Linked DNA regions of Mus musculus: regions 1, 2, 4, 5 and 6 are each reported to be linked to region 3. The links are microRNA targets in miRTarBase. Many come from high-throughput screens and were not tested one by one. Region 3 holds a microRNA gene; each other region holds the end of a gene's coding sequence.
What was found. Region 3 holds the annotated microRNA mmu-miR-17-5p (CAAAGUGCUUACAGUGCAGGUAG, at 3,043-3,065, shown strand). A microRNA usually pairs through its seed, bases 2 to 8, with sites in the 3' UTR of a target mRNA and lowers its output. Matches are read on the target gene's strand: a 7mer-m8 pairs with bases 2 to 8, a 7mer-A1 pairs with bases 2 to 7 and ends in A, and an 8mer does both.

Region 1 (5,073 bases), not on the chromosome of region 3:
TCTGATGGATGCAGGCAGACTCCTGCAGAGCTGAGCTCAGACCTAGCCTGGGACCCTTAGCCACACAGCCAGGTGCCTGGTGGTGGGCCTGCTCCGTGCCAGGACATAGCATCTTAGGTTTGTTTTCTGTTTTGCTTTGTTTTTTCTTGAGACAGAGTCTCACTATGAGCACAGGCTAGTCTAAGTCTCGTACTGTTGCTGCTCTGCCTCCTGAGTGCCGGGACTAAAGGTGTGCGCCACTCCCGACTAGTCTGGCTGTGTGCGTTTCTGTTAGCTCCTTGTATTTGGGCATGTGTATGAAGCAAGGACCGGGGAAAGGAGACTGAGCTCGCCCACGTGGTAACCTCTTGTTTGTTCTATCTGTCCAATCGCAGTACTCAAAGGGAAGAAGCTCAGCCTGCCAGCCTAAGTGCCAAAGACCAGCAGCAGCCTCTGCCCTTCGGGGTGCTCGGACAGGGTCTCACCATGGCGAAGGCGAAGGCGAAGGCTCGGGATGCTCAGTGGGCAGAAGCAGAGGCTTCTGCGGCAGCCACTCACTGGTGGCTCTTCGAGGATGCAGAGGAAGAGACCAGGAGGCTTCTGTCTACTGCATCCTGCCTTATCTTTTTTATTACTATGTACAAAGATTTTTTTACACAAAGAAACTTAATGCTGTGTTAATAAATTCAGTATGTAGATGAATTGGGACAGTTTCCAAAAGTGACGATTTTGTGCACAATAAGTACAAGCCTTTTTTATTTTTTGAGAATTTGTTGAGGTGGTCAATTCTTTGTGTCTACAATGAAATTATACTCCTTGACACTTGGTAGATTATCCAAACATCTGTCAAATTTCCATGCTATTTATTTTCTTTCTTTTCTTTCTTTCTTTTTTTTTTTTTTTTTTTTTTTTGCCAAAAAGATAAGTTGTGTTTGTTTGAAATCTGAGACATTGTGTTCCATTGGTGTTTCTGTCCAAAAGAGTCCTCGTTGTCCTGGAAACCCTTCCTCAGATGTCACACTACATGTCAGGTTCGGGAGGATGACTAGAAAGTCCTAAGGTTTCATTACCAAAACTTGAAGGTTCCCAGCAGAAACTCAGCTGATGCTCACCAAACGCTCACCCTTCCCCCGCTGAGGTGTGGCAGCTTGAGGTTATCCGAGGGTGCTGAGAGCTGCCACACCCAGAGGGTCTGAGCCACCTGCCCTCTGACTATGGAGAGGGCTGGGGGTGATGGCTGTTTTGGATAGAGGACTCAGCTCCTCTGAGGAATGGAACACAAATAGCCACCTGTCACTGTCAGTCCGAAGGATCACTACAACCATGTTAGACTCAAATGTTTTTCTCATAGCACTTTTGGTGATAAAATGATTGACAATCTTTTTAATTGGCAACACCAGTTATCATTCCTTACATTCTTTTTAGTATTTTTTTTAAACTGGGCTCTTGCATGACCTATATTGTGTTAACATCCTAAATAAACATTTTATTAAACAGAATGTATGGTCTTTTCTATGAATCAGGCTTCAACTATTCAGTGTTAGATGCAGCAAAAGCTCTATAGGGCTGCATACATTTAAGACTGACCTAAGGAGACGGAGAGATGGCTTGATGGCTAGGCACTTGTTGTCCTTTGAGTTCAATTCCCAGCACCCATGTGGTGGCTTACAGTCACCTATAACTCCAGTTCCAGGGGCTCTAGCACCCTTTTCTGGGCTCTGAGGACATACACATGCATGTATCACCCTTACATACACAAAAGTAATATGGATAACGCCCTGTTGATGGGAACACTAGGGTTTTTCATCATATTGTGACTTTATACGATGCACCGTTAATATTAGAAGTGTTGAATACTTGTAGTGTGCTGACTGCAGAAATGGAGTGGTTTTGCTTCCTGCAATTAAAGTGGCTTGTGGAGGAGGGGCGCTAGGAGGGTTGTCTTTATTTACCATGGGGTCTCTACAGCAAAGTTGGCAGTACAACTGTAGGCTTGCCTCTTCCTGCCCCTGCTTGACCTTGCTCCTGTGCCTTGTGACTTTGTCTTACACATGAGTGTGCTTCCCCCAGCGTCTTAGTCTTTACTTTCTTGGACCTGCTTGCCTCAAATAATTTTGTGTGGGGGCTGAGTGAGAGGCGGGGGGGGGGTGCACTGGCTGGGGTTAGGGATACTTTGCAGAACCGAAGCCTCAGGTTTCCAGCATTTCCAGCACCTTCTCTTCTCACAATACCCAAGTACGATAAAATTGGCTGTGATGTTGCCTACCACCTAGCATGACATCCTGAAGAGACTGGCCTCATGAGGCATGGCCGTGTGTGGCATACTTTTGAAGCATGGTGTCACAGTCAAGTTTGCTGCCTGAATATAGGTTGTCAAGTAACGTTTTCTCATTGAGGTTTATGGAGGTCTTGTTGAGATGGGCTCTCGATATGTAGACCAGTCTGACTTTGAACTCAGAGACATGCCTGCCTCTGCGCTTGAAGTCCTTTAGGATGAACGACATGCCACTATGCCCAGCGGATATGAAAGTTTGGGGGTTTCTTCTGTTTTTTATGTAAAATGATGCATTTTGGACTCAGGCTCGTGTGGAGTCTTGCATCTCAAAACATGGGATTACTATGAATTTCAGTTCTGTAGAGAAACTCCCAAGTGCAACGTTTAAGAAGTTTAATGGGATGGAGAGATGGCTCAGCAGTTAAGAACACTGACTGCTCTTCCAGAGGTCCTGAGTTCAAACCTCAGCAACCACATGGTGGCTCACAACCATCTGTAATGGGATCTGATGCCCTCTTCTGGTGTTTCTGAAGACAGCAACACTATACTCATATATTAAAATAAATAAACCGTAAGCCTTGTACACTGGGAAAGAGCAGGGCCGGAGGGAGAAGAAAAAAAAAAAAGTTTAACTAAGCCCTTGGGCCAGCAAGATGGGGCTTAATGGATTAAGGTGCTTGCAGCCAAGCCTGATTCCCCGAGTTCAATCTCTGGAGACTACAACACAGGGAAGCGTTTTCCTCTGGTTTCTACACATGTGCCATGGTGTGTGCATGCCCCTCCACCGCACAAAAATATTTAAAAGACCCCCTCTTGGTGAAGTGATCTGCACGACTTCCTTCACCCTTCACTCTCCAGGGAGAGCTAGCTGCCCTGAAAGCCTCCTGGAGATTGGTACCCAGAGGACACTGGCTAGTTGTGCTAGATGTTTCAGAATCCTTGTTAGAAACATCTATAGGGTGTGTGAGGTTGCTCAGTGGGTAGAGTTCCTTGCTGCTTAAGCCTGGTGGCTGGCGTTCAATACCTGGGTAGAAGGAGAAAACCAACCCCACAGATTGCCCTCTGACTCCATGTACACGTTGTGATGTATGCTCACATGTAAACACACCCCGACAGTAAGAATGAAAATAAGATACTTAAAGTCATGTGTCTAGGTATGTGGGTCTCTGCAGAGGCCAGACGCATCAAAGCCTTTTGGAGCTGGAGTTCCAGGGGGTTGTGAGTGGGTGTTGGGAATTGAACTCAGGTCCTCTTCAAGATCGGTAGCACTCTCAATTGCTAAGCCATATCTCCACCCACAAATAAAGTTTTGAAAAGGAATAGATGTGTAGAAACTGACTTTTCGGGACCTCAGGTTTGATGACTAATGGGTAAATACGGAACCCCACGTGGGGTTGGGGTTGGTTTTTCCGCCCCCTAGTGGTCAGTTGTGAGATTCCCATGTAGCCTGAGCTGTCAATCATCCTTCACTGACCCTATAAAGGTTAGTGTGGGATTTGGTTTCTCCTGTATCCCCTCCCCCCTTTTTCTTTTGTTTTGAAACAGGATCTTTGTGTCTGTGCAGATGGCCTGGAACTCCACATGTAGACCTAGAATTCACAGAAATCTGGCTGTCTCTGCCTCCAGAGTCCTGGGATCAAAGTCCTGGTTTATATAATTCCTATTTCTTATCCCTGCTATTTAAAAGCCTGGTGAATCCGGGTATGTGGTACAGGACTGTCATCCTAGTCACTCCAGAGGCTGAAGCAGGAGGATCATAAATTCAAAGTAGCCTTGGAAACCTACTGAGATCTATCTCTAAAATGTGGGGCTAGGGAGAGGAGAACAAGAACCTGATTTTGTTTTTGTTGGCTTGGTTTTTTTTGTTTTTGTTTTTGTTTTTTGTTTTTTTTTAAGACAGGGTTTCTCTGTGTGGCCCTGACTGTCCCAGAACTCACTCTGTAGACCAGGATGGCCTCAAATTCAGAGAGCCAACTGCCTCTGCTTCCCGAGTGCTAGGATTAAAGACGTGTGCCACCACACTGGTTAAGAGCCTGAATTTGACTCCTTAGCTCCCAGCTAAAAGTTGGATGTAACTCTAGCATTGAGGGGATTCATATAGAAGTGTGCTAGCAAGCCAGACCAGCTGAAAAAAAAAAATGAGCTCTAAGTGAGAGAGACTACTAGGTGGGGTTCTTTAGAGTCACAGAACTTATGAAATGTCTCTATATATTAAGTGAATTTATTGAAATGGCTTAAAGTCTGCATCCCACCTAATCTAACAGTGGGCAGCGGTGAATGGGAAGTCCAAGAACCTAGTAGTTGCTCAGTCCCACGAGGGTAGGTGTTCCAGCTGCTCTTCTGTATAAGCTGCCATCCTGAAGAAGCAGGTTCCAACAGATGTGCTGGCAAGTAAGTGCAAGCAGGCAGAGAAGAGGAAGGCCTTCCTTCTTCCAATGTTCTTATGTAGGCCTCCAGCAGAAGGTATGGCCCAGATTAAAGGTGTGTGCCACCACGCCTGCATCTGGAACTTGCTTTTTCCCAGGATGGCCTTGAACTGAAGAGATCTGCTTGCCTCTGTCTCCTAGGATTAAAAGTTTGTACTACCTTGCCTGGGCCTAAGCTTTTCATGGCCACTGTGGCTCAAGATCTGGATCAAAAGTGTGCCCTCCATTTCTGGGTTGTAGTTCATTCCAGATGTAGTCAAGTTGACAACCAGGAAGAGCCAACATAGAGACCGTGTCTCAAAAAATAAGGTAGGAGAGAGTGCTGGAGAGATGAGATGGCTCAGTGGTTAAGAACACTGGATTCTCTTCAGCTTCAATTCCCAGCACCCACAT
Region 2 (5,067 bases), not on the chromosome of region 3:
TTTCTCTGGTACACTGTAAGCAAAGTCTGAGGGCAAAGGAAATTTGGAAGAGAAGTGTGAAAGATGATTCTAGAAAACACAAGCTCAGGTGGGTGAGATGGCACACCATACAAAGGCACTTGCTACCAGGCCTAAGGACCTGAATTCAGGACCAGTAATCAATGGTGAAGAGACCCTACTCCAGCTTTCCCTCAGACCTCCCCCACTATGGCACATCTACCTACACACAAGGAAATAAACAAGTATAATAACTGTAAAAAGCTGGGTGTAGAAGTCGGGTATAGTGACACACGTCTTTAATCCCAGGAATCAGGAGGCAGAGGCAGGGGGATCTCTGAGTTTGAGGCCAGCTTGGTCTACAGAGTGAGTTCCAGGTCAGCCAGAGCTCTAAAAGAAACTGTCTTCAAAAACAAAATAAAGAGCCGGGCGTGGTGGCAAAGGCCTTTAATCCCAGCACTTGGGAGGCAGAGGCAGGCGGATTTCTGAGTTCGAGGCCCGCCTGGTCTGCAAAGTGAGTTCCAGGACAACCAGGGCTATACAGAGAAACCCTGTCTCGGAAAATCCACCCCCCCCCCCCCCGCCCAAAAAAAAAAAAAAAAAAAAAAACCCAAAAAACCAAAAACCAAAATAAAGAAACAAAGAGCTGAGTGTGATGGCACATAATTTAAATCCCAGCACTTGGGGGGCATAACTAAGTGGATCTCTGCATTTCAAACCATTAGTGAGATACTGTTTCAAACAAAATTATCAAACACATTTTCACACCCAGAGCCAGAAATGAAGAAAAACATCCTGTTTGATTTCTTCCTACTAAGTTGTTGACAGCAGTCTTAACTGACTACAACAAAACAAAACAAAATCCCCTTCAACGACATTCCAATTACTTATACAGGGAACGTTTGTCAACCAACTTGGCTAGAAACAGCGGGATCTACAGATGTAGCAATAATCATTGCCACTGGATGCTTGGCCACCAACGAAAGAGTAACGTGTTTTGAGGCAGCAGCAATTCCATCTCCTCCCACAGCATCGCCCACATAAAGGAAGAAAAAGTCACGTTTTCAAGTCCTGAGCTGGGAGCCACGGTCCGCCTTTAATGACATCAGAGACACTTTGCTGCCTGTCCCTTCTAAGGCCTAACCGGGCAAGGCAGTTGGGGTCCAATGCACCCTTAGTGGCTGGATTCGATAAGCCAGGGGTGGCCGGTGGTGCTGCAGCGCATGCAACCGGTTAGAGCAGCGGTTCGGAGCACAGCACGGAGCAAATCCGGTCCTGCATCTCACCAGCTAGGGGACCTCGGCTGGGCTCCGGACGCGGGCTCTCCACTCCAGCAATGTCGCGGCCACGCCACGCCTCGGTTTCCCCGTGCTGGCTGCCCTGCCCCTCCTGGACACAACGCCTGCTACCTGCCGCCCGCCAATCCTCACCTTCTAGGCATCCCTTCCAAACTTCACAGCTGGCATCATCGCCCGGGCGACCACACGCAGATCATGCTTCTAGCAGTCGCGGAAGTCAGTAGGCTTGCACCGGAAGTCCCACCCAGGCTGCGGCGCAGGGCATGCTAGGAGGTGTGCTGGGGGGCGGGGCCCTAGCGAGGCGTTCATCTTTCTCCAGGTTCCCTGGGCTGTGTACTTAGCTCCTGGTGTTCTGGGTTTGGATGAATGATCAGTGTGTCGTTAAGTACTTTCCCGTGTGTGTCGTCCTCGGAGCCCACAACCTGGGACCGCCAGAAATGGACATTCATTCACTAAGGATTATTCTGCCTGGCCAACACATCACAGAGCTGCTGGCTAAGTAGTGGGGGGGGGGGGGCGGGAGGGCGGGGAGGGGGGGGTCGGTCTCACTCTTATGAAACAAAATACCAATAATTATCCATTATTAATTTTTTGTTTGTTTGTTTTTTCGAGACAGGGTTTCTCTGTATAGCCCAGGCTGTCCTGGAACTCACTTTGTAGACCAGGCTGGCCTTGAACTCAGAGATCTGCCTGCCTCTGCCTCTCCAGTGCTGGGATTAAAGGCGTGAGCCACCATGCCCGGCCCATTATTAATTCTTTTTTTTTTTAATTAGGTATTTTCCTCATTTACATTTCCAATACTATCCAAAAAGTCCCCAATACACTCCCCCCCACTCCCCTACCCACCCACTCCCCCTTTTTGGCCCTGGCGTTCCCCTGTACTGGGGCATATAAAGTTTGCAAGTCCAATGGGCCTCTCTTTCCAGTGATGGCCGACTAGGCCATCTTTTGATACATATGCAGCTAGAGTCAAGAGCTCCGGGGTACTGGTTAGTTCATAATGTTGTTCCACCTATAGGGTTGCAGATCCCTTTAGCTCCTTGGGTACTTTCTCTCCATTATTAATTCTTAACAGCTTCCTTAATTCTACTCTCCCTAGGCAGCTGGGTCCTCCTAGTGCCTAATAATGCCTGTGAGTAGGAGAAGCATGGCAGTGGCTTGAGGCTCAAGGCTGGTGAAAACCAAGCCTGGCGACTGGCCAGTTTGTGGGACCTGGGAAGGGCCTTGGTCTTATGGAGAACTGACTACAAGCTAGAAGTCACCTGCAACACTACTGGAGTGGGTACAGAATCATGAAATCAAAGAGTAATAGTGCATCCCTTTAATCCAACATTCAGGAAGCAGAGGTAGGTGTAACTCTGTGAGTTCAAATCCAGCCTGATATACAACAAAGCAAGTTTCAGAACTATATAGACACTGTCTCAAAAAAGAAAATAAGAGTCATATCAAGTCTGGCCCAGAGTTGGGTTTGGCCAGAGGGAGTCTGGGGCATTAAAGGAAACCTGTAGGTTCCTGGTGTAGGAACTTGTGTGGGGCAAGCCTGGTAAGAACTATCAGGCAAATTTCCCTGGGGTACTGTTGTTTCTTGAGACAGTCTATGTAGAACAGACTGATTGAGAACTGGGATCGTCTTTGTTCCTGGTACTCTGAATAAAGGCATGTACCACCATGCTCTATGGTGCTTGTACAACTTTAGGAACACTTCATACGTAAATTGAGAGTAGTGTAGTTGTGCAGCTCTCATCCGGTTCACTTGCAGTGGTGGAGAAAGGCTGACGGTTCCTCTTGATGGCAGCTCTGACTCAAGCCTTGTGAGCAGAGGGAACACTAGCCTGGTCTTCCTTTGTGTCCCGCCACCTTGCACTGCGATCTGCTCTGGGGGTGGGGACAGCTTCTAAAAAGCTGTGAGTTAAAGGGCCCAGTGGTTTAGTTGCTAGGCGTCCATCCACCCAGCCTTAGTGTGAAGCTAGGATGTGGCTCATCCGGCATGTTGATGTAGTGGCTCTGTGATATGTTGGGATATGTATGTGATATGTTGTGATATGTATGTGATATGTTGTGATATGTTGATGTAGTGGCTCTTGTGAATGCCTGACTCCAAGGGTCAAGAACTTGAGGGTCCGATAACCCAGCAATGGCAGGAATATCCTTTGTTTGTTGATTTTTCGAGTTTCTCTGTGTAGCCCTGGCTGTCCTGAAACTCACTCTGTAGACCAGACTGGCCTCGAACTCAGAAATCCGCCTGCCTCTGCCTCCCGAGTGCTGGGATTAAAGGCGTGCGCCACCACTACCCTGCAGGAATATCTTCAGATGCAGACCTTGAAGTTAAAAGAGCAGGGTAGCTCTCAAGCATGAATCCCTGAGTAAATGACAAGACAGTCTAAATGATCTTTAAGATTTATTTAGATCAGAAAGCTGTTGATCTCAACAGGAGGGGAAAAGGGAAAATAAATTAAAAAAAAAAAACAAAAAAACAACCTATAGGAAAGTGGCCCCCAAACCTTGACCCCTCAGCACAGCACAGGGAGCTGCTTATGTCTTGCCTGTCCTTCAAAAACCAGCCAGCCAGCCCAAAGAGCTGGTGCTGACCCCCCAGGTGGGTGTGTGCTTTAATTCCAGTCTGAATTGCACTATACAAAAGGCACACAAACACATTAACGTGCATCAAAATCGACAGCCCCAAATGGCTTTCCAAAGCTGACAGCACACAGTAGAGGGTGTATGAAGCTTTGCACTGTGCACAGTGTGTGACCTTGGTCCTATGGTCCTGGTGGGAGGACGGCAGCACGTACCAAGCGGTGCTGCCTCAGTGAGGCACGCGTCTCTGTACAGGCTGCTCACTTACACACTGGCTCACTTCGTGTTCCACTTGACAACACTGAGGCTGAGCCCGACCTCGTCCTAGAGAGGGTGGTGAAAGAAGCTTGTTACAAAACTGTCGTTTCAGCTTTAGTGGTTTTATAAAAGTGTCTTCCAGTAAATCAGTGAGTCTATCGAACAGTGGGACTTCATGTAAACTGTTAGGTTCAACTGGTGGAAAGGAGCCCCGTACTGCAGATGGCCAGTCACATGATTAGGCCGTGAAATGCTTTGATGAGGACTGCATAGACAGGAACACATTCGGAAGATGTGTGGTGCCTTCGGTGCAGAGGTGACGGGACCCGGTGGCAGGTAGAGCGTCTCAAGAGTCCACCTCATCTTTAACTTCACTAATTCTGTCGATAGACTTGAGGATTTCAGCAACAAGGTTCAGTGTGTCTGCCCCAGACACCAGCTGCCTAAAGCAGAGAGAGACCAGGGCCATTATTTCAGCCGTGCAAAGGCAGCCAGAGACAGATCTAAAGGAGAGAGCCCAGAGCTATCAACCAGGTTTGCCACACTGGATTCTGTGTGGCTGCCCTCTGGCCCATGTGCCTGTGCACAGGCCAGCCACCCTATAGTGAAGCTTAGGGAAGGCAACTAAAGATGGTAGGTTGCAAGCCAGATAAGTTCATCAGAAACTGATTCTGAATTTTGCTCTTTGCTTAGGCCAAGCTGATGATGCAGTACTCTCAGTGATGTGGGCAGTAGTCCCACCGCAAGTCCCATATCTAGTCATGAGAGCTCTACCAGGGGGACTACTTTGCTTTTGTGTTTAATAGGTCAGATGAATTAACTACATCTTGACAAGTTTAACAAGCTGCAGCTTTGGTGAGTGTTTAATCACCATTATCATCACCAACTGACTAGCTCACAGTATGCTCACTGTGGCAGACTTCTCCCCTTCAGTTAG
Region 3 (5,073 bases):
TGCGCGGCGCGGGGTCCGCACGCGCGGGGCTGGCTCGGGAGGGCGTGCCGGGGGCGTGGCGCGAGGTGTCCCGGCCCGGAGCCCTGCGCCGAGGGCAGCGGGCGGCAGTGGGCGGACCCCGGGGGACGCGCGGCCCGGGGAAGGCGGCGCGGCGCCACCAGCGGCTCCCCCGGCTCCCGCTCGCCTGGCCGCCAAGAACGAGCCGCCGTGGGCGGGGCCTGCGGTGATTGGCGGGCGGGCGGGGAGGTCGGAAGTACTTTGTTTTTTATGCTAATGAGGGAGTGGGGCTTGTCCGTATTTACGTTGAGGCGGGAGCCGCCGCCCTTCATTCACCCACATGGTCCTTCGAGGTGCCGCCGCCGCCGCCCCGGCCCGCGCCTTCGCGCCACTTCGCGCCCTGCGGCGAGGCCGAGGGGTGGGGACGGTCCCCCACGCCGCCCGTGCCTCTCCACGGAGCCCCGAGCTCGGACCGGGCCGGGCGGGCCACGCCGCACCCCCGGCCTGGGGCCTCGGGCCGGAGTGGCGCGGAGGCTGGCGAAGATGGTGGCGGCTGCTGCGGTGAGTGCGCCCGCCCCGCCGCCGGCTCAGGGAAACCTGTTGTGCGCTAAGCGGAGCGGCGGCGGCGGCGGGACGGGCGGGAGGGCGGGGGCCGCGGGCCGGGTGGGTCTCGGGCCGTTGGGCGCCGGCGTGGGGCGGCCGTCCTGGCGCGCACGCGGGCCGGAGGGGGCCCGAGGGGGCGGCGGCCCGGGCCCCGGAGAGGCCCGCCCGGCGCACACAATGGCCCTCGGGAGGCTTCGCACGAGGCCGGCGGCCGTCCCGGGAGCGGCGGGAGCCGGGCGGGGCGCGCGGCCGCCGTGCGGGGAAAGTTTCTCCCGGGGGCGAGAGTTAAAGCGCCTCCAGAACAAAGCGGCGGCGGCACATGGGGCAGGCCGCGGGCCGGGAGGGGGCGCGCCCACGAGGAACCTGCGCGCGGGCGGCGTGGGCGGGCGGCACTCGGCGTCCCCGAAACTTTGTGCGCGCCGGGCCGGGCTCCGGGACGCGGGAGCTGCGGGGCGACGGGGCCGGGGCGCCACCCCGCGCTCCGCGTGGGCTTTGTGTGCGGCCGCGTGGGCAGCTCCCCTCGCGGGCGAGGCGACCCCTGCGGTCCGCCCGGGCGGCCCGGGACGCCCCGGCCCGCCCTCGGGGCGGCGCGGAGCCCCGGACGGGCGCTGGCTGCGAGCGCGGCGCGGGAGGGCCGGGCGGGTTCGGCAGGAGCGGCGGCCCCGCCGCCATGTTCCTGCGGGGCGGGCTGCGCGCGCCGAGGGCGGGGGGGGGGGGGACATGGCGGCGACTGCGCGCCGCCGCCGATTGTTCCCGGCTTAGGCCTCGGGCCGCGTGCGGCGAGCGCCCTGTCCGCCCCCCTCCCTCCCCCGGAGCCTGGCCGGGGGGCGCGCGGGACACAAAGGACGGCCGGCGTGTCCGGAGCCTCGCCACGCTCGGGCCTCCGCGCCGCCGCTCGCCGCGCAGCCGCCCAGAAACGGGCGGGGGTTGGGGGGGGGGGGGAGTCTCCGCGTCCGGCGCAGCGCGGCCCGGCTCTGACCTGCCGCCCCCTGGCGGCCGCGCGGGGAACCCACAAGGGCCGCCTGCCCCCTTGTGCGACATGTGCTGCCGGCCCGGGCTCCATGAGCGTGGCGGGTACTTGGCAGGATCCCGTGTTCCCGTCCGGTTTTCTCTTGATAAGCTGGCGCGGAGGGGAGAAAACTGGAGAGCGCAGCAGGGCTCGTGGTTCTTAGGTGACCAGAGGGAAGAAAATGAGCAACGTGCCACGAGGATCACAGCAGTTGGGGAAACAACTCTTTATCCCGGCGTGCAGCCACGAGGTCCTGATTGGGGGAGGGGTGGTGAAGACTAGTCCTGGTTGCCCTTTTTCTCTAGCTTGAGCTGGACAGTAGAGTTCAGGCTTGCTGCTACTCATCTTGCAGTATTTCAGGGGCACATTAATTCGTGCACGGATGTGAATCTTGGTGGGTTTTCAACTTTATTTTGTTACAGCGTTTTCCACCCAATACATTGTTGCCCTCAGGACCTTGTGGTCCTGGCTCTCTCTTTTTTTTTTTTTTTTTTTTTTTTTTTGGCAAATGGATAGAATTGCCCCTTAGGAAGATTAAGAGAAGAGCAACTTGGAATGGGGCTCGGAAAGTGGTAGTAATTTTGAGCAAATGTGCTTACCCTTTCTCTGTCTTCACCCCACCCCCAACCCTAGTCATACACGTGGACCTAGCAGCACCCGAAGCATTGCCCAAGGATACTTGCTGAGAAGGAAGTTTGCCTGAGTGGGTGAGTATATTCTAGTTTTGTAGCTAAAACTTCTTTTGAGACCTTTGGTTTTCACTTTTGTCTTTGAGCTTGTACAACATTCTTGGTCTTTTAAGGTATGAAATAAATACAGTTTGAACTCTTGTCATAAATGAGTGAGCCACATTTTAACGTAGTAAATCTACAGTGGCTTTTGGACACTAACCAAATAGTTGTAGACCCTTCAAGTTGGAGTCATAGAGTATTTCTAATTTGGGGTGATACTAAGACTTTTTTATGTTTTATGACTAATAAACTTGAAAATGACTAAACAATAATCATTAATCTTGTCGAGTATCTGACAATGTGGAGGACAGAAGAAAGGGATTGCTGCCTGGTCAATGTGAGGCTTTCCTCTAAAGGTAGTACCAAGTCAGACTGCCTTCCTGATAACAGGTCTCATTTTGTAGGACCCTTATTGTGTGTTTTTTGGGGAAGCCTACTGTAAAAGCCAACATTTTAATGGGATTGTATCTTATATTTCTTTAAGGAGTTTTTTTTTTTTTTTTAAGGCTTACATGTGTCCAATTTGGAACTTCTGGCTATTGGCTCCTCCCCTCCCCCCCTTGGGTATAAGCTGTAATTGATGTTTGTGACAGAATTTAGAGCTTTGGCTTTTTCCTTTTTGTCTAATTATTTATTTCAAATTTAGCAGGAATAAAGTGAACCTCACCTTGGGACTGAAGCTGTGACCAGTCAGAATAATGTCAAAGTGCTTACAGTGCAGGTAGTGATGTGTGCATCTACTGCAGTGAGGGCACTTGTAGCATTATGCTGACAGCTGCCTCGGTGGGAGCCACAGTGGGCGCTGCCTCGGGCGGCACTGGCTGCGTCCAGTCGTCGGTCAGTCGGTCGCGGGGAGGGCCTGCTGGTGCTGCGTGCTTTTTGTTCTAAGGTGCATCTAGTGCAGATAGTGAAGTAGACTAGCATCTACTGCCCTAAGTGCTCCTTCTGGCATAAGAAGTTATGTCCTCATCCAATCCAAGTCAAGCAAGCATGTAGGGGTCTCTCCATAGTTGTGTTTGCAGCCCTCTGTTAGTTTTGCATAGTTGCACTACAAGAAGAATGTAGTTGTGCAAATCTATGCAAAACTGATGGTGGCCTGCTATTTACTTCAAGTGTTGTTTTTTTTTAAACTAATTTTGTATTTTTATTGTGTCGATGTAGAGCCTGCGTGGTGTGTGTGATGTGACAGCTTCTGTAGCACTAAAGTGCTTATAGTGCAGGTAGTGTGTAGCCATCTACTGCATTACGAGCACTTAAAGTACTGCCAGCTGTAGAACTCCAGCCTCGCCTGGCCATCGCCCAGCCAACTGTCCTGTTATTGAGCACTGGTCTATGGTTAGTTTTGCAGGTTTGCATCCAGCTGTATAATATTCTGCTGTGCAAATCCATGCAAAACTGACTGTGGTGGTGAAAAGTCTGTAGAGAAGTAAGGGAAAATCAAACCCCTTTCTACACAGGTTGGGATTTGTCGCAATGCTGTGTTTCTCTGTATGGTATTGCACTTGTCCCGGCCTGTTGAGTTTGGTGGGGATTGTGACCAGAAGATGTGAAAATGACAATATTGCTGAAGATGCCGATTTCCACTGTAAAAATGTTCACGAGCTGATGGAGTGTATGAACACATTCTGTAAACTGTGATTTCTATTGCTTTCGTTGGTGTGTAAAACGGGATTTTTTTAATTGAAATTTGTGTTTTTAAATTGTGGTTTGTTTTTACTGAATCATTTCATTTTCGTGTTTGCTCGCTGGATTTAGTAAGAAGTTGTGTGTGGGGGCTTAGGTGAAGTTAAACTGCCTTTTGAACCTGGTATGACTTCAGGTTTATTTTACTCTAAAACCCATTAACATGAGTTAAGAAAAATGTTACTTTCTTTGGATCTCTGTTTATTAAAGTGTGACAATTCAGATGGAGTGTTTTCTGATAAGATTATTCCTAATCCGTGAGTTCTTAACAGTTAACAGGTGGTGGCCACTCTGTTAATGTGCACACCCTGTAAGAAAGAACTATCCTTGGACTGTTCTTACCATGTGACCCCCTCAAGGGAAAGATGGCAAACTGATGGTCAGTAGAGTGACAGGTACACATGACACTCGAGTGCTGGGTCTGGAGAAGCTGCAGTTAGTATTTAGGATAACAGTATATATAATATATAGTTCTACATTTGGGCAGCACAGTTGGTTTCAGGCTATGAATAAAAATCATTGGAGTGAAACCTAAAGAAAAGTAAAATTAATAAGGAAGAGCTGCTAAAATCAGGTTTAAGCTGACACTATCTACAGAGCTAAAGTTTTCCATAATATGTTGCTTTTTTTAAAAGAAATGCAAGAAGCTGACTGATGGATCCCTGAGCTGCCAGGTAAGGATTCCACAGGCCTGGGTTTGATTGTGAGTGACCAGAATTGTACAATTATTACTAAAACAGAAACATAGTCACTTCTGACTCCATTCTTAACATTTTTGGATTAAAACTTGTTTCAGATGACTAATGAAAACTTCCTTTAAAACGTGATAAAGCTCTAATGTCAGCACGATCCACATGATCCATGTGCCTCCTATAAAGGGAGGGGTCTGTCACCAGTGTTACGGATTGAATGCTACGTTTATCTTCCAACATAGGAAGCCTGCCAGGTACTTTCTTCAATATACTAAATTAGAAGTTTAAAATTAATAAGGTCTTAATTAGGACCTTTGGATGCTGAGCTTGTGGTAGTAATTGTGTTCAGAATGTTTTG
Region 4 (5,073 bases), not on the chromosome of region 3:
CTGCCTCTGCCTCCCTATAACTCAAGGTATGCGTCACCACCCCCACCTCCAAACCTCTGATGTGGTGTATTGAGGCAGAAGTGTGTGAAACTGGTTCACATGTTATTTGAATGTCACCCTTCATGTATTCAATACTACAACAACCACCAGTTCAAATCACACAAATTATCAAACTTCTAAGACGAGACTCCAGAAGGTAGGTTCAGCCATCTCCAGAATAACTCAAAGCCACCTATAAGGTCTTTCATTTTAACAACGCTCCCTGAATGAGTGTTTTGTTTCTTCTTCTTTTTTTCACAGTGGCTGAGTTTTTCAGTACTCTGAAGTTACATGCCTGGAGAGGTCTAGTGGAAGAAAACAGCCAATGACTACACTTAGACACTTTGTATCTGGACCTTGAACTTACGGGAACATTGACTTCATCGGATGATTATAACTGAAGAATATAACCGTCTGGGATAGATGAACTTTTCACATATCAGAGTAACATATTTGCATATTATTAAACCAAATGCAAATGAATTGCATAACCCTTGGTAAGGTCAGAGGAAGCGTTACACCTGTAAATAGTATATCCTTTTTACTTCTACACATTGTCCTGGCCATAGCAATATTAAATCAGGAAGGAATGCAGAGAGCTTTAAATAACTGGGCAAATAGTAAACCAATCTCAGAGGCTACAAGGCCTTGATGGGAATATTTGAAGAAATTTTAACTTTTAAATGCAGTGGTGGCACCTGCCACAGCAGCCCAGAGACTGCCGCTTGCCCTGAGCGAACTGAGAAATACAATGACGAAGTAGTCTGATGGAGGCATCTAAAGAACCCAGTCTGATGGAGGCATCTAAAGAATCCAGGAGCCAGGAGTGTCTGACACAAGGCCAACCTGGGCTGCCTAGCAAGACCCGATCTCAGAAAATAAATGCCAATTTAAAAAAAGGGCATGCTTGCTTCCATCATTTGGTTCTAACAGAAGATGGTTTTTATATACCTTTAGCATTCTTAAACTCAAGTCCTTGACCATATTTGGCCTTAGACACTTAGGTCTGACAAGTAGTAAGTAATGAGATCACTCTGACCAACTGAGCCAGGTGTGCCGTCTGCAAGAAGATCGTGATAAACCCCAGGGACTGTGCCTACAGCTGGGGAGGACAGGGCTCAGAAGATCTTCTTAAAACAACCAAGCTGGCTTCTTCATCCTGGGAAAATGCTAGCAACCATACAGACATATTGCCTTATCTACTTCCAAACGTACTGTTAATAAAGAGTTACAACACAGTCGCACCATGCCTTGTTTTTCTTCATAGAGCATGGCCCCCATGGGAGGGCTGAGGAGCACACAGGTAACAGCTGGGTTCTACTTACGTGAGGTCTGCTGCTCTGAAGGTTCAGACACTGAGAAGGCATCTTGCCTATAATTAAACTATGGAACTGTACAACATTTTTAAAACTCTAGTTCAGAAGTTCTGGTCACTCTGGCAGAAAGGACAATCCTAATTCCACCTGCTTGGTCTGGTTTAGGACGGTTTTGGGGAAACCCCCTATATCATTGCTGGCTCCAGAGCTTAGGCCTGCTCCCATGGGGATGGGGGGCCATTGTGGGAGCTGAGAAACCCACATAGTAAATCACTAGTCTAGGGCTAGACCTGTCGCTGGTGATCCTTGAAGAATCACAAAATGGGAAGGGAAGAAAGAAGGCAGCATGATGGGAAAGTGCTACCCACTATTTCATGGACAGTTTTGTGGGCAGATCCTCACCTCCTAGGGGTAGAGGATATATAACAGGATTGCATATAGTCCAGACAGATCTGGACCTATGTAACTAACATTGGCCTTGAACTCCTGATCCTCCTGCCTCCACCTCCACAGTTGGGGAATTATAGCACCATTTCAAGTAGTAGATGGGTTTCTCCAACACAGCTAAAGGTGGGCTGGGAAGGTTAAGAAGTTGGGAGAGTGTGTATGGAACTAACTCGGGTCACTGGATTGAGCTTTCTCTGTTCAACACTGAGGGGTTTCAGAATAGGGGGGAATGGGTTGTCTTGGGAGTATGGGTGACCAGAGTAGTGTTGGTGAAGGACTGAAGATGGGATTGGATGGAGGAAGGTGATAGAATGTTTGAAGTCTGAGGTTAGGAGACCTAGCAGGGAGAGGGTGGTTATTCCAATAAGGGCAGCAGTTCTAGACCTGGGTGGGAGTGAGGGCAGGGGTCCTGCTGTAAGAAGCTGAGAGGAGGGTGGTCTTGGGTGAGGTGTGAGCTGGCCCCTCCCAAGTGGCAGAGGCTACTCTTGACATCACTAGCTGGCAGCATGTAGCCAGCCCATCTGTCGCTCTCCCTGATGCCAACTTTGCTTTGTTGCAATGAGGACAGGGTTCAGTTCCCTGCATCTCATGGCAGCTCACAACCTGCTGTGACTCCAGTTCCAGTAGATCCGATGCCCTCTTCTGACCTCCATGGGCACTGCATGCATGTGGTGCACAAGCATATAAGCAGGCAAAACAACAATACACACCAAATAAAAATAAGTAAGCCTAAAACCAAAAACCGGTCGGTGCTCATTTTACAGGGAGGAGATAGACTCCCATCCTTTTTGATCCCATGGGAACTGTTCTGGCCTGCATCTCACCACCACTCCTGTAAACCTCTGCCCTGAATTGCTAGCCCACACCTGCCTTAGCTCTTCTGTGGACCGGACACACTCATCTCTTCAGTTTTTCTTCTCATAGCTTCTCCTCAACAGCATCACAATCACACTCCTGCCCCATCCTGACCCGTCCTTCCCCGGCACCAGGGATTCTAAACTGTCCTAGCTAGATTCACTTCTTTGTTCCCCAAATCGCTTCTCCACCTGGTACCGTCTAGCTAATTAACAGCCTATCAGTCTTCTCATGTGGCTACGGTCCAAGTTATCTGTCATGGGTGCTCCTAGGTACACCTCCAGCCTCCAGGCCCCCACCGCCCACCCCTGCCAGGCTCTGCTGCCTTTCATTCCACTCAGTTCTTCCTCTGACCTGAGTCCACATTCCCCTAGTTTCCTCCTGTCCCTTGCTTTTGTCAACTGTGACTCCAGTCACATGACACCACCTCCAGCCAAGACTTCACCTAAAGTTTACACTCTCCTCCTTAGCATGGCCCACTGCACAAGGCTTCCTTCTCCCTTTTGTAAAAACAAAAAGCACCTATAAATCCTGCTGTTAGACTGGCTAGCACACACACACAGAACTAAAGAACAGTTAAACTGTTGGATAAATTATGAGTTTGATATAGCCATTGAATCCTAACACACAATAGCAAGCAAGCAACAGAATACAGAATTGTTTCCAGCAGGCTCTCAGCTATGCAAAAAAAAAAAAAATCTAAAAACGAGACTACAAAACATACCCAACAGTGTCTCTCCAGTGTCCACTGCCTACTCTACACAAGACTTCCTGCTTTGTATGTAAAATTTGGAGTGAAATTACAAATGAAATAAATTATATGTACTCAAGTAGTATTAAAAGGAGAGAAAGTATTAGACTGAGTTCTGTTGTAACAACCACTTGTGGCTTATTTTCATCATGATTTGAAGACAGATTGACAACCCACAATTCTGAGGTCTTAGAAAACACTGAGTACCAGAGATTATTTCTGTTGAGTCGATTGTTATGTAAAATCTGGCCAGAATCGATGCCTTCATTGTGTAATTCCTGTTAAAGTCTCATAGGCATTGTTTAAGATGGTTTGCATATATGAGGTCTATGTGATTAGTTTGAACATCTGTGAATCCCAAATACATCTCTAGTGTGGGTGGACAAGGAGTTGTAGAATTGTACTGCAGAGGATTAATGTTGCTATACACAACTTAGGGGTGTGAATAAAAAGCTGCTACTTAGGAACCTTAAAAAAAGAAAAAGAAAAAAAAAAAAAAGAATTAGTCCTAGACAGAAGCTGCATCTAAGGCTGGTTAGAATGCTTCAGGTCCAGGGCTTAATCACTGAATTTTGGGCTAATTTTCGGCCCTTGAAAGCCACCTCTGTGTCAGACTAGCATCTGGTAATAGATAAAAACTGTCTTAGAGTCTATCAACCTAGAGTCTAAGAATGTCATCACATAGCATCTGAGACCTACAGGAGACTCCCCATCTTGCATAACTGCCTCTCTGATGTACCCACCAATGTCTTAGGTTGCCTTGATTTGTGACTTCCTTTGCTCTACTATAACCTTTGTGGAACTGCTTCCTTGTGGGAACACAGGAACCTGGAGTAACCTGGCTCCATATATCCTGGCCCTTGGTCATTCAAATTGACTGAAGACAAACGGTTTCTTATTTCCTTGAAAGCTGTGTTACTTTGAGTCAGTAACCTTGGTCTACACTTTCAAATATTAGCCCCAAGAAGCTTTGGTACTTTAATAATAAAACAGGTAAAAACCTACAAAGAGAATAAAAAGGAATGGTAAGGGTAAGGGATTTGCAACCAGCCAACAGCCGGCTTGGCTTCCTTCCCTACTTCCCACATCTCCTGCTTCTATAGACTTGCGATACTCCTCGGCAGTCTCCACAGTCTCACTGCCAGTGTTAAGAGAACAAGTCTCCCAGAGGTCAACTGTCTCGGCAAGGTCGGACAAGTAATGACTGCAACAGTCTAGTTCTAGAACTCACGTCGTATTTGTCTCCTACTGCAACAGCTCATACAAATCCAATGGCTTAAAAACATATCCATGCCAGGCAGTGGTGGCGCACGCCTTTAATCCCAGCACTTGGGAGGCAGAGGCAGGTGGATTTCTAAGTTCGAGGCCAGCCTGGTCTACAAAGTGAGTTCCAGGACAGCCAGGGCTATACAGAGAAACCCTGTCTCGAAAAAAACAAAACAAAAAACATCCATTATCTCACAGTATACAGCTGGGGTCCAACAAAATTTTCATTAGGGCACACCACACACATGAGGAGTCATCTCCGGACAGATCAGCTCACCTGGTAGGGTGTACTCAGGTCCACATGGCTACAAGCCTGAGGCCCTGTCTCCTGACAGTCCAGAGTTTTTCTTCATTTTCACACTTTCTGGCTCATGACCCCTTTCATCTTCAAAAACACCC
Region 5 (5,073 bases), not on the chromosome of region 3:
TGCTGCAGATGCGCCTCTCCGGAAGCCAGGAGGCTATTTTGCAGCCCCTGCTCAGCCAGATCCAGATGATCAGTTTATCATCCCCCCAGAGCTGGAAGAGGAAGTCAAAGAAATCATGAAACATCACCAGGAGCAGCAGCAGCAGCAGCAGCAGCAGCAGCTGCCACCACCACCCCAGCCGCCACAGCCACAGCCACAGCCACAGCCACAGCCACAGCCACAGCCACAGCGGCACTTCCAAATGGATCACCTGCCAGACTGTTACGATACACCGCTATGACCCAGCCTGAGTACTGTTTTAAACAATAAACTAACCAGAGAGACTGAGAGTCTCCCAGGCTCACATTAAACCAGGGGTGTTAACTTCATGCCCTCTCCCAGACACTGCCCCACCTGTCTCTGCAGCTCATCTGTAGGTTCTCTTTGTATTGGTTACTTTTAACAATTAACCACTTTTCTTCTAGTGATACTTTACCAATATGATTTAAATTTGTTAACTTCTTTCCCTAACATATCAACTGTGTAAAGACAAAGAACAAAAGGTTTAATATATTACAGAGAAACAGTTAATGATAATGTAATATTTTTAAAAATGGCTTTTGTTGTTTTGTTTGTTTGGAAGGCAGGGCAAGTTGCCATTGCTAAATGATTTAATAATATTGTAATTGTGTATTTCTTTGTGGGGAAAGCTTTTTTTTGTCTTGAAAATGGTAGACATTTGTAGAATATGGCGACTAACTCCTAGGAGTTGCTTTACTCTGTCAGGTGACTTAAGTCACTGGGAGTCACTAATTTTCTCTGAGAGAACAGTTGATTGAGAAATTTCTATTGTAAATATCTCAGTGTTACATAGTGAAGCTTAAAGTGTTTGTAGTCTTGCATAAGGACACAGCCTAAATAACTGACCCCTTACTCGCTCTGAAGAGCCTCCCTGCCCCACCCCTACGTAGCTCATCTTCAGTGTGGGCCATGTGCAGCGTGTTTCTGTGCAGATAATGTGGCCCTGTTCTCGGGAACCCAGAACCTTTTACAGACATTTTTTAATTGTGTTCCTTCCTGCTGCCACAATCAGCATGACTGTATAGAGTCCCTTATACCATCTACACATCCAGAGTTATATGGAAGCAGAATGCCCAAATGGACATGTCGTAATTTTTGTTATAATAAATATGAAATTTACAAGTACTGAATCTATCTGCTTTTGTCTCAGCATCCAGGTGTGTCTCACAGCCAAACCAGTTTAGGATTAGAAGGAATAGATGGGGGTGAGATTAACCAACATTATGGTTTGGGGTTTGTTTCCTTAATAGTCAAGTTCAGCTGCAGTGAATGAGGTAGTAGAATCGACCTTCTGGTCAACCGCACACACAGCTGTTGTTACCCTTTTCTTTTTATGATTATGCAAGGTAGTCCTCACTGGAAGAGAGGACTGGATGGGGACTGCATAGAGGAGAGCCCTGCAGAGAACCTGCAGACCTCCTACAGAACCAAGATGGGTTTCAGCTCTTCCAGGAGATCACGTGAACAGGTCCATGCACCTTCCATTGTAACTGTCAATTAAGAGCTGTATGTGGAAGGCAGGTGGCATCCCTGTTGTCTCCCTTCAGGTGTGCCCTCAGTAGTACTTGGCCAGCCCAGACTAATGGCCGAGCCCACAGAAGAAGAGGTAGCTCACTCCAGCACAGCACTGGACCCAGTAGCTGAAGAAACTGTGTTTCCCAAGTGTGGAAGAGGCCTTGTGCCTTCAACTGGAAGTCGAGTCATCCCAGGGGATGATCCTGCCTGACTCTCTAGCCCTTCCCTCCCTTACTGTGCATCATACCATGTGGGGCATAGGTCACATAGAAACCACACAACTTCCTAGTGCTCCCCAGTGCCTTATTTCCTGTCCAGCTTCCAAGTCATCAGTGCTTAAATCCCAACTCTGGGTAGAGTTCATCTTTGTGGAGGAGGCCTAGAGCACACAGTGTGACTCTTTCAGAGGGGTCAGAACCTGTGGAGGCTGGTGAACAGAGTCAGTACTTGTAGACTCCATGACAGCATCTGAGGCGGCTACACAGCAGAACCAGCAGACGTGGGAGAGAGCAGCAGGTTAGATGCTGTGTTTGTGCATCCACAGTCCTCTGGCATTTACATCTCTGTCCGTTCTGTCATTGAGACATTGTGCACATCACACGCGTGGAACTGTGGAGAGAGAAGTTCTTTTGGGGGACTTGGCAGTACATAGTACTGTAGAGGAGAAACTTTTATGTTGCATCCATGTGAAGGGACTAAAGAGGCACAGACATACTGGGAAGTCTCCATGCTCTTATGTAGGAGCCTCCGCAGTTATTTCCTAAGGTGAATTTATTCACTTCTGTTTACCAAGATACACTCTAATAGTGTATGTGAAGGTGCTTATAAATCTGAAGTGGATTTTGAGCTTTAAGTATTTTATTAATACTTGAAGACCCCTAAAGCCATGATGTCTGCACAGGAGAAAGGGTTGCCCTGAGGCTGATGACCTTGCTGGGGCCAGGACACCAGTTCCTGTCAGATCAGCCACCTACTAGCAGATACAGGCAGCCTCCAGGCTTCCTGCCCTTACCCATCAGGCCAATCTCTGGCCAGGGCCAGACTAGTGTGGCTGCTTTCTTTTGATTGCTTTTGTTATAGCACCACCTACTGGTGAGTAGTTTGGGGGCCAGGCCACCGACTCCATTTGGACTGAAGAAACTGTTTAGCAGTTTTCTTCATGGAATAGAAAGTAATCCTCACCACTAATTAAGTGTGGCAGAGATGCTGCATTAAATCCTAGCGTCTGTTGTACCTTGTACCAGTCTCTGCTTTACAATGTGGTATCATTGGTGACTACTTGGTTCCTATAATAGGAAATTTAAATAACATGCGACCAGAATTATAATCGATCCAGCATTTGTCTACCCTTGCCTTCCCTGGGGTTAGAAAACAAGGGAAAACAGAGAGCATTAATGGTATGCATGCAGTCTTACAGAGTAGATATGTGATGTCACTACTGGCTGTAACTAAGGGAGGGGGGAAAAAAGAAAAAAAAGCCCCATTGGCGTAATGTTGACTCTCATCAAAGGGTCTTGAGTCCTTCCCTGGTGCTAAGCAGAATAATCGCTGAAAAGTGGGGTTATATTATCTGTAACTGCCTCCCGAGTGACAGATCGGAAACTCACTAACGCCTTCCATGTAAGTTGTCACTATTCCAGCACAGAACTAGGCTGCTCAGAAATCCGGGAGCACGGCACAAATGCTTCAAGTGGCGAGTGGAAGAGAAGACTCACTTCTCTTGTGGGGGAGCAGACTCACTGTCGCTGGGGGAGCTCCCAATATCTGTCATTAAATACTACTAGTTTCTCTCTTTCAGTTCATCTCCGAAATTCCCATGTTGTGCAAATGACTCTAGGCCAACTGCTTTCGTCATTGTCATTGATCTGGCCTGTGCTGATATGGATCCCCATGTCTGATATATATGTGTTTGAAAATGTAAATGGCTCTAAAGCATCTGTGATAGCTTTGATTTGTTTTTTCTTATCCTAACCCCTACCTGCTATATCAATTGGATCAAAGTTCACACTAAACCTTGCTCAGGTAAAGGAAGGTAAGAGCCCTTCCAGGACCTCCATCTGATTTGCATGTTCACTCATCCTTAATCAACAATCCATGGCCATCTCAAAACCAGCACAGGACCTGAGGGGCCTGGCTGGGGTATGATCTTGAGACGCTTTGAGGGTCTAAGCCAGCGCCGTGTTGATACTAGATATACATAAATGTCTGAAAGCAGAATGCTCTCCCCTCAAAATGCCCCTCTTCCCTTCTTGAAGACATTGAACACATCAGGAAGAAATGGGCAAATGGCCCTTAAGCCCTGTTTTTTACTGTTCTGTTTCCTGGCCTCAATGTACATATAAATAATATGTATTGCATTTGTTGGCCTTTGGTTCATTTTGCTCAAAGAACACAAACAGAATGCTTCAAGAAAGGTCTCCCTCCTGCTTAAGCTGGAGCCTCACTTATTCTGATTCTCTAAGGACAGAAAGATCTTCTATCATCATGCTGAAATCTTTCACTTTCTGCTCTTCTGCCTTGTTCCAGTGAACTTGGACTTTCCTCTAACGAGTAGTCCTGTCTGTTTAAAGGGCATCAAAATGGCAATTGGGACTTTTTTCAGTGTTCCATGTCCAGTTCTTGAATGCACCAATACTTACTTCCAAGTCTTCTTAAGACTGCCTCCCAAATAATGCCTGGGTATGCTGGAACCAGCTCGGGATTAAGAGTTGTATTTAAGCTAGGACTAAGCCAAGCAATATTTTTATTTGGCTCCTGATCTACCATACTTTCGATGACTACCTATAGAATGCCTCAGCAGGCTATAAGTATCTCATTGTAAGATGATCCATAACTCCCAGGAGCCGCATCGTGTACTGGACCTGCCACCTATCACAGGTAAATACATACATTCCTTTTCTATGATAATGTCACCTGCATGTCATTCTCACCTTTGAGCCCTCCAGTTATCAGTTGAAATTCTGTGGGAGTCTCTGTGACCACCAGGACTGGCAGAGTACCCATCTGCTAGAAGCAAGAAGGAATCCGGTTCAGTATGACTTAGATGGTGCTGGCCCCAACCTCTAGAGTGTGACCCTGAGCAGTTGATTGCCAGCATATTCAAGCACAGAATAATTTGGAAAAAAAAAAAACAATTTCTGGTGTAATACAGTCTCATGAGCACAAGGAAACTCAACTCAAATCCATGCCACATCTTCCAAGAAGATGGGTTCTAGAGATAGGCTACATGTATTATCTTAAAGGCCTAGCAAAGGATCTGATATGGTCTCAGTCGTACAGATAGTGTAGATGTCATTTCTGCTGTTAGCTACCTCTGGTCCTGGTTGTGAAAACTTAAGAGCACCCCTGGCAATACAAATAATGCAGAGGCCATTTACTACTAAGCACCTCCAGACCTGCACATGATAGATAATACAGATCACCAGGCTATTGAGCAATCAATCACCTTCATTCCCAGCCTTCTGGGTAGAAAACAGGTTATACATATTTTTTCCTTGA
Region 6 (5,073 bases), not on the chromosome of region 3:
CTGGGCCCCTCGTTTGTCCTTGGTAAGTGGACATAAAATGGAATCAAGTATGCAACAGATCATCTGCTTTGCAGACTCCCATACTGAGCACCCCTGTAAATACCTCCCTCACTGGCAGACCGTGTGTGAGGGTGAGCACTAAGGTTCAGTTTCCTAGAGAAGTTCTCAAAGCTCCCTTCAGGGACGTGTGGGATGTTCCTTTAAAATGATACAAGTTGGCTGAGTACGAGAGATTTTCTAGCTTATTAACCAAACTCCTGCAGTCTGGTGGTCCTAGGCTAGATCCATTTCTTCCTAGCAGGGAAGAGTTCCTAAGCCTTTAAAAGGATACCTCATAGCTGCCATGGCTGCCTCGTTGCAGGGTTCCAGTGGCTGCACTCACCCATTTCAATGTCTCAGCCACATGGAAATTGCATGGCTCAATTTCCACATCATCTTGTTTGTTTGGGATCAAGGGGGTGTGTTCAGTCATTTAGCAATGAATCCTGATAGGGTATTTGTGTTTCTTTCCATAGGGTTGAAAGTGTGGTCTGATCCATTTGGCAGGAAATGAGGCTGTCAGCAAGTCTGATGAGGAAAGTGGACGTCTTTATCCTGTGCACTCCGCAGTGGGGACAATAGATGCCTCACTGTGGCAGCATGGCATGGAGAGGGAACTCTCATGCTGCTAGCCAGACCCCTTGTGATAGAGACTGTGTGCAAAGACAGTGCTTCCCTTAACTCCCTGGAGAACCTGAACAGATGCCACCATTAGGAAGTGCCTTGCGGCTCCATTGACTTTGCAGGAGCAGAGCCAGCCTGCAAGGCTGTTTGTGGAAGATCTGCTGCTCCTGCAGTCTTTATCACTTCCAAGCTGTGATGTGAACACAAGCAACCTGTGGGCTCAAGGTCCGTGGCTGCTCTGACACCTTCTGAATAAGCGATTTCAGTGCAAATGGCCTTGCCAAGCTGCCTCGCAGGGCTCTTGGAGGATGTTTCAGTTGATAAAACTGTTTGAAGACAGGATCCTTGGCACTGTTTAAGAATATACACTGCTCAGCTTAACCATCTCATTGAAAGTCACTGTGTGTGGAAGTGAATAGGGAGCGAGTCACACTAGACTATACCACACACAGTAGACTCCTGCGTGAGGCTGCAGGTATTAAAATGGTTTCTCTTAGTTTGCTGGTGTGTACTGTTTTTATATTTTGTGTGTGTATATGTTTGTTTTATTTGGATGGGTGGTGTTTGTTGGCTTTGGATTTTGTTTTTTGAGACAGGGTCTGTCAGACCAGTCAAGCCTTGAACTCCCAGAGATCCACCTGTCACTGCCCAGTAGAATTTTTTTGTAAATTGAATTCTGATGTGAAGAAGTAGAAGTAGTGCTATTGTCTAGATTCTATTTGAGTAGATATCCGTGTAGTAATAGCTATTTGTAGACAAGGTGAGCGGCACACTTCTTGTGGCAGCTGTGGCATTAGGTTCTCCAGAGAAACAGAACTGATGAGATGAATATGATTTACATCAGTGACTTACAGGCTGTGGTTCACCTAATCCAACCATGCCTGTCTTATCAATGGAAAGTCCAAGAATCCAATAGTTGTTCAGTCCAAAAGGCTGGACTTTAGTATCTACCAGAATCCCGAAAAAGTCGTCTGTAATCCCCGTGAGAGCAACGGCAAGCAGGCAGAGAGCACACACTTCCTTGCATGTTTTTCGTATAGGCCTCCACCAAAAGGTGTGGCCCAGACAAAAGGTGGATCTTACCACCTCAAAAGATCCCGATTAAAGGTGGGACTCCCAGTTCACGTGGTTCAGTTAAGAAAAATCCCTCACAGGTGTACCCAAGCACTTGGGTTTTAGTTATTTCCGGATAAAATCAAGTTGACAACCAAGAATAGCCAACACAGCTGTTACTGGAGTGCCCGTCGCCCACCGGGTTCCCCGCCAGGAGTCGCGGCAGTGATGCTAAGACCCAGTTTCCTCTTGCTGGGCTTACTTTCTCCCTCCCTTGCTTCCTTGTCTTTGGTTCCTTCTGTGTCTGTCTTCTGCCTTCCCCTCCTCCCTACGACTCCCCTTTTCCTTTGATCCCTCTCACTTCTCACTTCTCACTTCTGGTACCCTGCCTACTTTTGCCTCAGGAGGCTACACGACTTGGTACTGTTCTCAGCAGAAAGCCTTGTGTTTCTGCAGCCTGTGTTTTCACGAGGTGCTTGGTGGCAGAATTTCATAATTGTCAACTTGGCATTCTCTTAACACACTGCTGGCTCAATTATGTAATGACTGGCAAACGGGAATGAGATTGATAGTTCTAAAACCAAAGTCATCATTTTGGGGAGACATTGCCTAATATAGAATTGACGTTCAGTTAACAACCCAATAGAGGGAGCTGACTAATTAGTTGTGCATTTGCCTACTGTTTTCCTTGGAGGGGGCACCAAGAAGTTATGTAATTTAAAGTCAAATCGTGCAAATGCTCCATGGAGCCTGATGACTGAGGCATGTACATCTTCTGGGCTGAAGGACTGTGGCAGCAGACTCTCCTGAGTCAGATCTTTGTCCTGGGACCTACCTCCCCTTGTCTTCAGTCTACCTTTTTGCAATGATACAAGGGCTTCCTATCCTCAGTCACCTTGACGCTTGTAGCAGGAGTGTTCTGTGTCTCAGACAAGCCTGCAGAGGGCTGCCCATGCCTGCCCCATGAGTGGCGAGAGGTGCCCTAGTGAGGATAGACAGAGGGCCTCACAATCCAGGAGTCCTAGTGTGCCCCCCTCTCCCAAGGACAGTGATTGAAGCACTTTCCTTATAAGAGGCAGCTTAGGTGCATTTAGGAAACAGGTCTGCTATTGACTAGATACATCGGGTTCTAATTTGGTGATTTCCTGGGGAGGGTAATCATTTCCCAAGTGCTTTGAACGACAACACTTCTACTGTCTGTCACCTTTCTGGGATAGAGACTTCCCCTTTAGGGGAAAATCAGACCATTACATCTTAAACCTTTTGATCTCTGGATAGCTTTACACTTTTTAAAACACACTGTCTCAAGGCTGTAAGCAGGAGAGCAGCGGTGGGGTTACCCAAGATCCCGCTTTGCCCTCTGCATGCACGCACAAACATGACACATTTTTTTAAAGCTCCACATTGTGTTCATGCAAATTATACCTATAGAAAAATGCACTGTATTACTACATTCTTAAAAAAACAAGAATTATATTACTTTAAAAGTGTCAATTATGATTATGTAGATTAATAGAATGTTGTATGAGAAAATTTTATTTTTTAAAACATAAAGTAGTTTCTGGGAAAACAGTTTAGTGGGTAAGATCACTTTATGTAAGCACGAAGACCTGAGTTCAAATCCCCAGCAACCACATAAAAAGCTGACATGGCCACAAGCACCTGAAACCCCAGCACTGAGGGGAAGAGACAGAAAAACCACCGAGGATCGCTGACTGCCGGTCAAGCTCCAGGTTCAACGAGAGACCCTGTCTCAGACATTCGGTGGCAAGGAGAGAGCAGGGCAGCTGGCCCCCGAATGGCTTCCATCCATACTGACATGTACCCACATATCTTTCGTATACATGCACCACATATAAGTACTTGTGAATATCTGTCCCAACAGAAGACCTTTGCATTCTCACGTTTCTCTGCCTTGGGTCTCTTTTATTATTATCTCTGCATTCGCACGAGGGCATGGAAGCAGAAATGTTTTCAAGGGAGGTTTTGAGTTCTTGCTCCTCAGTCAAACCTTTCGAGGACTGTGTAGTGGAATCTCATCTGTTGCCCTGGCTGGTTAGTTGTCCTGGACCTGTTTTGCTGTGTTGGAAGAGGTTGTAACAGGAGGGGAGGAACTGAAAGCATACTTGCTGTTACTGGGATAAAGAAAGCTCCATCCAGCCATTCAAATGCCCAACGGTACCTCCTGTGGGTACATTTGTAAGCCCACAGCCAGAAATAGCAATACCGCTGAGCAGTTGCAAATTTCAGCCTGGGAACACTGAAGTGTGTAACAGGACCATTCCCTTTGGCTGATAAGAAGCTCAGACACTGGGGCTCTGCTCTTCAAGAACTGCCTATGGATACTGGGGAGAGGGCTCAGGTTAAGGGAACCAATAGTTTGATTCCCAGCACCACACACTCACGACCCTCTAAATCCAGTCCAGGGTATCTCATGCCCTCTGAGAGCACCAGTCATGAATGTGGTGAACACCCATGTGATATGTGCTCACACAGAAATAAAACTTTAAAAGAAGTGCCTGTGAATGTGCGGCATGTCCATGGTCACTATGGTGACCTCATCCCCTTCTCACGCCATTTTCTTCTCACTTTAGTTTTGGTCTTAGACTGTATGTTAGAGCCTTCATTCAAGATGAGGCATGGCATACATGATATGTATTCAACTGAAAACTCATTTATAGTTAATAGAGATGAAGTAAAATCATACAGATTAATATATTAAAAATACCTTTTTAAAAAACCTTATACTTTTTTACAGTGCTAAAAAACTAGTCTTGAGAAGTACCTAGAATTCTGACTTGTGGCAAGGGATGGAGCTATGGTGTGGACGGAGCTCTGGACGACAATGGTGGCCTTGTTTTAGATACAGCAGTGTTTGGGGATCATTACATTATGGGCTTTACGAGTCTGGTGCACCACTGCATTCTCCCACCTGTCAGCTCGATGCACAGTGGGCACTCCATCGATACTGAGAGATGGTTACCTGGAAGAATGGAGTGGTAGTAAGGACATGGGGTGCCCACCTTTAAATGCCAGGCAGATTTTTTTTTTTCATTTGATTTAGTAGGAGGCATGAAGAAACTTAAGCAGGAAGTTTCCTGAAGACTTCAAAACAAAGCCAGGCTGCTCTCTCTAGAGCAGCCCTAATCATAGATCGTGGTTAGCAGTGTTGTTGGGCTGTTCTTTCCTACCCAGAATGATCAACAGACATGAGAGAAAGATACAAAAGCATTTAGAGTCACTTGACGAAGACGCTGGCTGGCATCTTGCGTCATGGATCTGTTTTATTTCTACTGCAGCTAGTTTCATTACATTTTGCAAAGGTCCCCAGGAGAACGTGAGTTAGAAATAAGACAA

Region 1: the mRNA of Kdelr2 is a reported target of mmu-miR-17-5p. Seed matches in the 3' UTR shown: 7mer-m8 at 1,330-1,336.
Region 2: the mRNA of Entr1 is a reported target of mmu-miR-17-5p. The part of its 3' UTR that is shown has no 7-base or 8-base seed match.
Region 4: miRTarBase lists Capn2 as a target of mmu-miR-17-5p. The part of its 3' UTR that is shown has no 7-base or 8-base seed match.
Region 5: the mRNA of Phlpp1 is a reported target of mmu-miR-17-5p. The part of its 3' UTR that is shown has no 7-base or 8-base seed match.
Region 6: miRTarBase lists Smim20 as a target of mmu-miR-17-5p. The part of its 3' UTR that is shown has no 7-base or 8-base seed match.

What each region holds. Positions count from the first base shown.
Region 1 is chr5:143,420,427-143,425,499 of GRCm38, forward strand. Kdelr2 (KDEL (Lys-Asp-Glu-Leu) endoplasmic reticulum protein retention receptor 2) reads left to right here. Exons shown (of 5, transcript NM_025841.4): 5 at 375-1,478. The coding sequence ends at 409. Among named protein-coding and RNA genes, the nearest start is that of Kdelr2, 19 kb to the left of the region's middle.
Region 2 is chr2:26,379,122-26,384,188 of GRCm38, forward strand. Entr1 (endosome associated trafficking regulator 1) reads right to left here. Exons shown (of 10, transcript NM_026563.3): 10 at 3,679-4,573. The coding sequence ends at 4,477. Snapc4 (small nuclear RNA activating complex, polypeptide 4) reads right to left here and starts at 1,532. Exons shown (of 23, transcript NM_172339.4): 1 at 1,428-1,532.
Region 3 is chr14:115,040,642-115,045,714 of GRCm38, forward strand. Mir17 (microRNA 17) reads left to right here and starts at 3,030; the gene lies at 3,030-3,113. Mir18 (microRNA 18) reads left to right here and starts at 3,210; the gene lies at 3,210-3,305. It overlaps Mir19a (microRNA 19a), which reads left to right and starts at 3,359; the gene lies at 3,359-3,440. It overlaps Mir20a (microRNA 20a), which reads left to right and starts at 3,516; the gene lies at 3,516-3,622. It also overlaps Mir19b-1, Mir17hg and Mir92-1.
Region 4 is chr1:182,463,463-182,468,535 of GRCm38, reverse strand. Capn2 (calpain 2) reads left to right here. Exons shown (of 21, transcript NM_009794.4): 21 at 301-1,283. The coding sequence ends at 324. Among named protein-coding and RNA genes, the nearest start is that of Capn2, 52 kb to the left of the region's middle.
Region 5 is chr1:106,393,061-106,398,133 of GRCm38, forward strand. Phlpp1 (PH domain and leucine rich repeat protein phosphatase 1) reads left to right here. Exons shown (of 17, transcript NM_133821.3): 17 at 1-1,185. The coding sequence ends at 280. Among named protein-coding and RNA genes, the nearest start is that of Gm41928, 130 kb to the right of the region's middle.
Region 6 is chr5:53,277,382-53,282,454 of GRCm38, forward strand. It overlaps Smim20 (small integral membrane protein 20), which reads left to right. Exons shown (of 3, transcript NM_001145433.1): 3 at 516-1,159. The coding sequence ends at 553. Among named protein-coding and RNA genes, the nearest start is that of Gm40303, 13 kb to the left of the region's middle.